Arabidopsis thaliana: one gene and its partner. The protein of the gene in region 2 binds, or shares a complex with, the protein of the main gene of each other region. Each region holds a gene or a part of one and is shown on either strand. Other genes may lie near its edges. A codon is read from its position in the direction of its gene.

The links.
Region 1: the proteins of NdhN (region 2) and ndhK are in contact, whole or in part, in a cryo-EM structure (PDB 7WFG), measured with the Arabidopsis thaliana proteins. Residues at the interface, in NP_200634.1 of Arabidopsis thaliana: Pro80 (codon at 3,006), His81 (codon at 3,009), Gly83 (codon at 3,015), Gly84 (codon at 3,018), Tyr85 (codon at 3,021), Glu86 (codon at 3,024), Gly87 (codon at 3,027), Arg88 (codon at 3,030), Leu90 (codon at 3,036), Asn91 (codon at 3,039), Arg92 (codon at 3,042), Leu126 (codon at 3,226), Lys128 (codon at 3,232), Tyr142 (codon at 3,274), Ala146 (codon at 3,286), Pro148 (codon at 3,292), Pro149 (codon at 3,295); in NP_051063.1 of Arabidopsis thaliana: Ser3 (codon at 1,901), Ile4 (codon at 1,898), Lys5 (codon at 1,895), Phe6 (codon at 1,892), Pro7 (codon at 1,889), Thr20 (codon at 1,850), Asp24 (codon at 1,838), Trp28 (codon at 1,826), Thr117 (codon at 1,559), Asp118 (codon at 1,556), Thr151 (codon at 1,457), Arg154 (codon at 1,448), Lys155 (codon at 1,445), Ala158 (codon at 1,436), Arg159 (codon at 1,433).

Annotation. Positions count from the first base shown.
Region 1 is NC_000932.1:48,028-51,742, forward strand, and holds ndhK (NADH dehydrogenase subunit K), read right to left. Parts: upstream 1,908-3,715; coding exon 1,230-1,907; downstream 1-1,229. Other genes in the region: ndhJ (NADH dehydrogenase subunit J), read right to left, coding at 650-1,126; ndhC (NADH dehydrogenase subunit 3), read right to left, coding at 1,974-2,336. UniProt on the Arabidopsis thaliana protein: NDH shuttles electrons from NAD(P)H:plastoquinone, via FMN and iron-sulfur (Fe-S) centers, to quinones in the photosynthetic chain and possibly in a chloroplast respiratory chain.
Region 2 is NC_003076.8:23,559,800-23,564,697, reverse strand, and holds NdhN (oxidoreductases, acting on NADH or NADPH, quinone or similar compound as acceptor), read left to right. Parts: upstream 1-2,696; 5' UTR 2,697-2,768; coding exon 2,769-3,137; intron 3,138-3,219; coding exon 3,220-3,336; coding exon of another isoform or gene 3,337-3,342; exon of another isoform or gene 3,343-3,401; coding exon 3,402-3,487; intron 3,488-3,565; coding exon 3,566-3,623; 3' UTR 3,624-4,130; downstream 4,131-4,898. Other genes in the region: ABCB25 (ABC transporter of the mitochondrion 3), read right to left, coding at 1-106, 212-357, 630-690, 757-840, 1,165-1,272, 1,419-1,521, 1,619-1,662, 1,743-1,804 and 1 more; EMB3143 (YCF54), read right to left, coding at 4,326-4,518, 4,619-4,851. UniProt on the Arabidopsis thaliana protein: NDH shuttles electrons from NAD(P)H:plastoquinone, via FMN and iron-sulfur (Fe-S) centers, to quinones in the photosynthetic chain and possibly in a chloroplast respiratory chain.

The sequences.
Region 1 (3,715 bases), on a different chromosome or scaffold from region 2:
CGAAATCCTCGTGTCACCATTAGGAAAACGAGCATGATACTTCAGTAGATGATACTTGATACTTCAGTAGACTAATGGTGGACATAGCTTTTTTCCGGGGGACTTGAAATCGTTGTGCCACCATTCGTAAAACGAGGATGATCCTTCGCCGGGATAGCTCAGTTGGTAGAGCAGAGGACTGAAAATCCTCGTGTCACCAGTTCAAATCTGGTTCTTGGCAGAGGATTTATTAATTTTGATAAGTTTTTATTCTTCAAATTAAACGTATCTTTAGTAAAAAAAGTGCAATTATGCTTTATCCCCTCTCTTTTTTTTGTTCATGTTGTGAATCCAGCCGTTCAAAAAGAATGTATAATACTTGATACATAATACATATCCGAAAGGAAAGGTTAAATGAGTTCCGTTGAATCAAACAAGTAAAAAAAGGTCTATATGTATAGTATACTATAGTTGAAGGGCAAAAATACCCCAAGGTTCATTAGATACAATAGAAATAGAATTGTATCCCCCCCTTCATTTATTGCTTTCCGATCTTATTTATTCATTCCCAGTTATGTGACTAAAGTTGACTAAGTTATGTGCGCGATACAAAGTTCATAATGCAGAACTCTTTTTTTTTAGTTCATCCTATTGGCTCATTTTTTATCATTCAATAAGCATCTTGTATTTCATAAAAATTGGGGGCAATATAATCCTTACGTAAAGGCCACCCTATCCAACTCTCGGGCATTAGGATCCGTTTCAGTCGTGGATGGCTATCATAAGTGATTCCTAACATATCATAAGATTCCCGTTCTTGAAAATCCGTACTTTTCCAAACCCAGAAAACGGATGGAATTCTAGGATTACTCCTGTGAGTAAATACTTTTATGCAGACTTCTTCCGCTTGATTAACACCATATTCTATTCTCGTAAGATGATACACGCTGGCTAAGAGGCCACCTGGTGCCACATCATAGGCACATTGCGAACGTAAATAATTGTAACCATATACATATAAAATTACAGCAATAGAATGCCAATCTTCGGGCTTTATTTGTAAAGTCTCTATTCCTTGATAATCGAAGCCCAACGATCTATGAACCAGCCCGCGTTTGGCTAGCCAAACGGACAAAGTGCCCTGCATCTTTTTTATTTCCCCCACACCTTTTTTATATAAAATTAAGTATTTCACATTTACCGTTAATTCTAATTTATGAAGATTTTTTTCTGATTCTCTAAAAGCCTCCCTAATTCACTAATTCGTGGGACGATACTGGACTTTTGTATTTAAAAAATGTTTCAGTAGAGATCTCTGAAGTAGATGATGGTGGATAGAGTAGTTCTTGATCATAATTTCCAATATGCGGACTGCGTACAACAAAAAACTTGTGATTGGTAGTAAAACACCGATTACCCTGTTGAGGTCTAATTCGATCCTTATAGATTTCTCTAGCTATTTTCTTACGAAGCTTTGTTATAGCGTCTATAACAGCCTCTGGTTTAGGTGGACAACCCGGCAAATAGACATCTACAGGAATTAGCTTATCAACTCCTCGAACAGTACTATAAGAATCGGTACTGAACATCCCCCCTGTAATTGTACAGGCTCCCATAGCAATAACATACTTCGGTTCAGGCATTTGTTCATATAATCGCACTAAAGAAGGAGCCATTTTCATTGTTACTGTACCTGCTGTTAAAATAAGGTCCGCCTGTCTAGGACTCGATCTTGGTACTAACCCATAACGATCAAAGTCAAATCGGGAGCCTATTAATGAGGCAAATTCAATGAAACAACAACTGGTACCATAAAGAAGCGGCCATAGGCTGGAAAGTCTTGACCAATTTGAAAGATCATTTAACGTAGTTGAAATAACGGAATTTTTTGTTGTTCGATCAAGTATGGGAAACTTAATGGAATTCATAATTGTTTCAATGGTTTTTTTTACTTTTTTTTTTTTTATTATTGTATCAAGTATTCGGTAAACGAACTAAGACCATTCCAATGCTCCTTTTCGCCATGCATAAACTAAACCAAGAATTAGGATAAGCACGAAAATGAAAGCTTCTATAAAAGCAGATACCCCCAGTACATCGAAACTCATTGCCCACGGATACAGAAAAACAGTTTCAACATCAAAAACAACAAAAACTAGAGCAAACATATAATAACGGATTCTAAATTGTAACCAAGCATCCCCGATCGGTTCTATACCTGATTCATAACTAGAAAGTTTCTCCGGCCCCTTCCTAATTGGAGATAAAACTCCGGAAATTAGAAATGCCAAAACAGGAATAGCACTTGATATTAGTAAAAATGCCCAGAAAATATCATATTCGTAAAGCAGAAACATAGACGAACTCCTATGAATGTGGAAAAAATACCCGCTTAGTCAATTCCAATCGGAGTGGATTGGGCAAGGGATATAGAACTCTTGAGTCAAAACAAAAATTCAGGTTAATCGAATCATTTTTTTTCGTTTGGTTGTTGTGGTAGACGTCTCGTTTTAAGATTTATTGATTTCTTATTTTCAGTACACTTATTACTTAATAGTTCCATGTTTCTATTACTAATAGTTTCTAATATAATAATATAATATTAATCTGATTAATAACTAGTAATTTTTTTTATTTCTGTTTATGTTTAAAAAAATTTTTCGAAAAATCTCTTCGTTTTTTAAATGATGACGTATCAAAAAATCCAGTAAGACTTTACCATACTCATCTTACTTAGTATTAGATAGATTGAATTTTGGTTGAATTTAATTAGATTTCTTTTTTTATTTTTAAACAAGGCCGTGTGATAAAAAAAGTAACCAAGATTGAGTGGGGATACAAAAAAAAAAAGAAAGTATTATGAACTTTTTGATTGTAGCTAGTGAACGAGGAAAATTCATATAAAAAAATTACAACTATGAAAATTAATGAAGAAAAAGGTTTATTCTAAATTATAAATTAAGTATCTATCTCGATATATCGATAGATAGTGATTGGCTCCATTGAAATAAAATGAAATTTTCCGTTTTATTCTGAACGATCCCCAGGACTTATGGTTTATGATATGGAAATTTTTTTTATGAACCGAGCAATTAAAAGTAACCTGTTAGAAATAAAGAATACAAAAAAAAGTAAAAAAATTTATCCAATTATTTTGATTTTAATGTGATTTTTTAGAATAAATTTCTTAGTTAGGGCTATACGGACTCGAACCGTAGACCTGCTCGGTAAAAGAGTTCGAACTTATTATTATCAAAATGATTCGAACTCTTTCAAAGACCCAACATGCATTTTTTTTTGCATTGGGCTCTTTCATTAACTGATCGAAAGATCAGTTAGTCTACCATATTTTTTCTTAAAAAAAAGATAAGAAATGGTTCCAAGTACTCTGATTGATTATTTTTGAATTCTAATACAATACAGAAGAACTACCAAAGTGTTTCAAAGAAGGGTTCTCTTGACGTAGGTTTGCTTTTGGTCTAGATCAACTTAAGTTAAATATAGTCTCTAACATCCTGATTAAAAAATCAAACATGAAACTTGATACACCTTAAGGTTCATAGGACGAAAAGATCATTTTTGAGTTCCTTATACTCATTCTACCTAGCATTGAGTAGACTGGGTATTCACCCTATCAATATCTCAAATCAATGATGGGTTCTATTCATTCCCTACCTAACGGGGTACTTTAATAGGACCTAATGTCAGGCTGTTGTTCTCCTCTTTTTTCCTAAAA
Region 2 (4,898 bases):
GGAACATTGATTTCATGTCCACAAGGCTCTGAATTGTTTCACGGTAAACACTACCCAAAAAATTTAGAGGAAGAGACAGCTGAAAGAGAAGTCCATTCACCATAACCTGCATCACCCAAATATGCAAAAGCTTATTAGAAAACAATTTGGATAAAAAATGCAGAGAAACATAAAATACCAATGTCAAGGAAAAATCAAAGGACGCACTGACCAAATCACCGACTGTCATCTGGCCATTCATGATACCCTGAGAGCACAACACCATTGCTGTTGATAAAGCTGTACTAAATATGATACTTTGTCCAAAGTTTAAGAAAGCAAGACTTCTTTGAGTTTGCAGGGCAGCATCTTCATATTCTGGGATAAGCAGCAGAATCGTCACAAGATAAATTAAGGTAAATGGACGGAGCAATAATATATTATGGTAAAATATCAATCGGTTTTCTTCCTAGAAAAAGAACGTGTAAATAAAGATGTAAAAAGAGTCATCAGCGCATTTTCTGATCTACATTTGTTACTTGTTGGCTTGTTGCTACTATTCTTGCTCAAACTAAAACTGGAGAATTTTCTCTTTTTTTTTGGAAATTAAGATAAATGTTTTCATCTAAACAGCTAGTAGAGTTACTTACTTTTCAGGAACTGGTCATACTTTTCAGCCTCATAACCTTCATTGTTAAAATATTTGACAGTCTGAAACGAAAAAGAAATTCTGTCAAAACTGCAAGTCAAGCAAAATGATTAAGATTAAAAATTTACCTCATAATTTATCAGAGAATCAATGGCCCTTGTGCTAGCATCATTATCAGCTTTGTTCATAGCCTTTCTAAACTTGGTTCGCCACTGGATAAAATAAATAAAACCGTGAGCAAAGCGTTTGACACCAAAAAGATTTGTAACAAGATAATGAAAGTTGAAGAGAATGTATGAAGACAACTATCCTTCTATACATCATCAAACCTAATATCACAACTAGAATGATTTAAGCCGATCCAAAGAGTTGATACAGTTAAGATTAGAGAAGCTTAGTAACGAATTCCAGAACAATGTATACTATAGTAGTTTCTTAAATAAAATATCACAGTTATTGCTGGATTATCATGATAATAACGCAAGTATTGCATTATAGTTGGCATTGAAAAGAGAATACCGAAAAAGGCACAGTACCTGTGTCACAGCTAATGTGAAAACGATATATGATCCAACGGAGAGAGAAGTAATCCAGGCAAAAGCAGCTCCAAACTTGTATGCCAGTATACCTGATACCATAGATATCTGAAAGATACATATTAATTACGTCGAGTGTTTTTAGAGACGAATGAATAGTGAAATCCAAATATGAATGAGCAACTGCCAATTATTCAAAATGAGAAAAAAAACAATGATCATGAGAAAGCACCAAGTGGTCAGACAAGCTTTACCTCCAATATGGTAGGAACAACATTGAAAACCATAGCTGAGAGGATAAAATTTATTGCACGGCTACCACGATCAATAATCCTGTTCAAGCCGCCTGTTTCTCGACTGGACATAAGCAATTAAGTAAGGAAGTTATGATGAGATGAATCTAAGATGGAATGAGCGAGACTACTCACAAGAGTAAGAGAGGAGAGATAGATACCTTAGGTGGTAACGAAGGTCAAGATCATGTAAATGTGAGAACACCTGCAAAGCGACCATATGAAATTGATTCATACATTAAAATATCTCTATCGACAAGATAGTTTAGAGCAGCAGCAGCATACCTTTCTAGAAACAGATCGTATTGTTCGGAGAGCTACCTTAGAGAACACAGCAGTACGAAGTTCTGCGATGATGAAAAGTAACAACCAAGAGTGAAAAGTGCATTCTTTTTTAAAGAAAACTAGAGCTATTGAGAGTTACCATTAAAAGCAGAAGAACCCGTCCGAGCAATCCCGTATCCAATGAGAACAGCAGCAGGAGTAGCAAAAACAGTAAGAAGAGTTGGGTTTGTAGCAGCGAAGGTGGTAAGTGAGGCTCCAGTACCGGTAGCTGAAGCAAGCCAATCAACAGCTAATTTGAAGAGGAAAGGGACTTGGACATTCAAGACCTTAGCACCCACGAGAAAACCCAAAGCAGCGATGACCCTGAAACGGAATTCTGGATTGTCTCTCATCCACAAATAGCCAGCAAGCGTACGGAGAATCTTCATGTCAGCCATAGCTGAGTCTGAATCCGACGAGGTTGTCTTGATTTCCTTAGTCTTGGTGGTGGTTTGGTCTGGATTGGGAGTAGAAGTCGAGAAGAGACGACCATTAAGCATTGAACTCCGTTGAACAAAACGAATTGGGGATGGTGATGGTGACGGGGATGGTGAGTTATCTGAGAGGAAGGCATTGATAACCGGAGATGTTCGAATTGAGTTACGTCTGATGTAATTGGAGAAACCATTATGAAGACGATAATCAGAGCGAAGACTGTAGGAAAAAGATGGGATTTTGGGTTGAGGTTGAAGATTAACGCGACAGAGTAAGAGCCCAGGAGCCCTAACGAATCGAGATCCTCTCGACATCCCTTCTTCTCCGAAAGTTTCACAGACTGAATTTTGCTCCGGCGAGCTAGCTAACAATGTCACGACGTTCGGCGGTGCTTAATGGGCCTAATAAATAAAGCCCAATACATTTTAAGCCCATTAATGTCTATCCCTTTGTGGAGTGAGTCGTCGTTTCTCCACCATTCTTTCATCATCATCGTCGTCAAGCAATGTTTATTATGAGCTACTTCCACAAGAAGTCATTGTTAGTAAAGAAATGGGAAGCCGTGCAATATGTATACAACGTGTGGCACCACCGTGTTTTGAAGCCTCGCAAGTGAAGAAGATCAAAACAGTTGGTTCCTTTTTGGTGAATACTAGGAGTAAGAGAAGAAGAAGCACTGGTGTGAAATGTAGCAGCATAGCTGACTACATCGGAGGTGACTTGGTGAAGCCGGACATCGGACAATGGCTTCAAGACGTGGAAGAACACAAGGCAATCGCCATTTACGCTCCTCATGAGGGTGGTTACGAAGGTCGTTATCTTAACCGTCTCAAAATGCAGGGCTACTACTTTCTTGACATCTCTGCTCGTGGCCTTGGTGACCCTGAGACTACCCTTCTCAAGAACTACCCTGTTTGCCCTGTATGTCTACTTTCATCCATCTTCTACTTTAATCTTGTTTCAATATAATTTTGTGTGAACCATGTATCTTCTCTTCTTTTAGGCTCATCTTGGGAAACAACCTATAGCAAGATGGTATTATCCACCAGAAGTTGATTACAGGCTCGCTGCTCTTCCCCCTAGTGCCAAGGGTCTTGTTGTATGGGTCCTCGAAGCAAAGGTTTGAGTTTCTCTCATTTGATCTGTTCTCCCACATGCTCTTTCTCATATTTCCATTTCACTCAGGTCCTCTCAAAATCGGAGCTTCAATTTCTCGCTTTACTTCCCTCTCTTCGTCCTAACGTCAGGGTTATTGCTGAATGTGGCAACTGGTGAGTATATCATTCCTTACCATACACACTAATCATCTATGTTTGCAATTTGCATGACCATTACCAATTCCCCTGCAGGAGAAAGTTCGTGTGGAAGCCTCTAGCAGAAATTGCAAATCTAGCTGCACAAGAGTAACTTAATGGCACAAGTGGAGCTACCAGTGTATAGTTTTTCATGAATGCATCTCCCGCAAGTGTAGCAATACTCATCCCATAGTAAAAGTTAAAATCTGTATTTGTAACTTGGTAGTATATTCCCATGGAGTAGTTAAAGATAATTTCTGACTCTGCTTTGTCACAAATAAAAGTATGTATAATCAGTAAGATTGATAGGACACGCTTAGATACAGACTACAGAGCAATCCAGAAGTACAACATAGAACACTTGATTCAGCAGAAACATGTGCAACTTACTTTGATCAACTCCAGTCACTAGACCTAACGAGTAACAACATGTTCCGAGTCCACAAATCGTTTTGAAAACCAAAAAATTCAGATCTTTTGCAAAGTTCTTCAGCGAGTAGGCATATTGCCCTCCTGTGACTAGACAACTTAATACCTAGAGCTTTAACTGAAGGTTCTTGCCAATATTCTCGTGAGAAATCAACAAATATGGTCACCCTTAAGACTTTGATGGAGCTAAATGTGAGGATGCTTTTTGTTGTCTAGTTCTATGCTTAACCTTGAGTCAGTGACGTATCAAACAGGCAACTTTGAGTAATAGAAGCTACACTAGGAAAGATATAGACTTGGATAATGAGCTCAGTAGTACAAAACTTTGAAGCACTAAGACAAAGCTGAGATTGGAGAATGCAAAAACAAGACAAAAAGCAAAGTTCTATACTGCAGATTCTTGGGTTACTTTAGGCAAGAAGGTATCCCACCATCCAGGTTCATACTTGGGGTATGGCGCCACCCAATTTTTAGGCTTATCGAACTCAAGAGTGGTAGGATTGGAGGCCAAAGCTTCATCAAGAGAGGTAGCTTCAAAGGAATCATACAGAACACGATCCAATCTTAACTTCATAAACCTGCCATAAAACAACAAATTGCAAAACACAAATGCGTTAGATAAGGAGGGAGTGAGGAACGTAATTTTGAAAAGAGAGAGATTGGGATTAGGGTTCTAACGTGATCCAGGTGCCATTGGTGGAAACAAGAGCAACAGCAGGACGACGAAGTCTTTGAGTAATTTTGGGGAAATTGTCAAGGAATTTAGGCTCAATGACAAGCCAGAAGTCTTGCACTAATTCACGCTCACCGAAGTAACGGAGACGTTCAAACAATTGCTCCTGGAAGTGCTCCTCTTCGTCAAGCATGAATTTAGCGTTTGCTACCAGGAAATGGTACTTGGTGCTCTCTCCCTGCAATCATCCAGAAAACGTAAGCTGTTTGGTTTGATTGGTCAAGA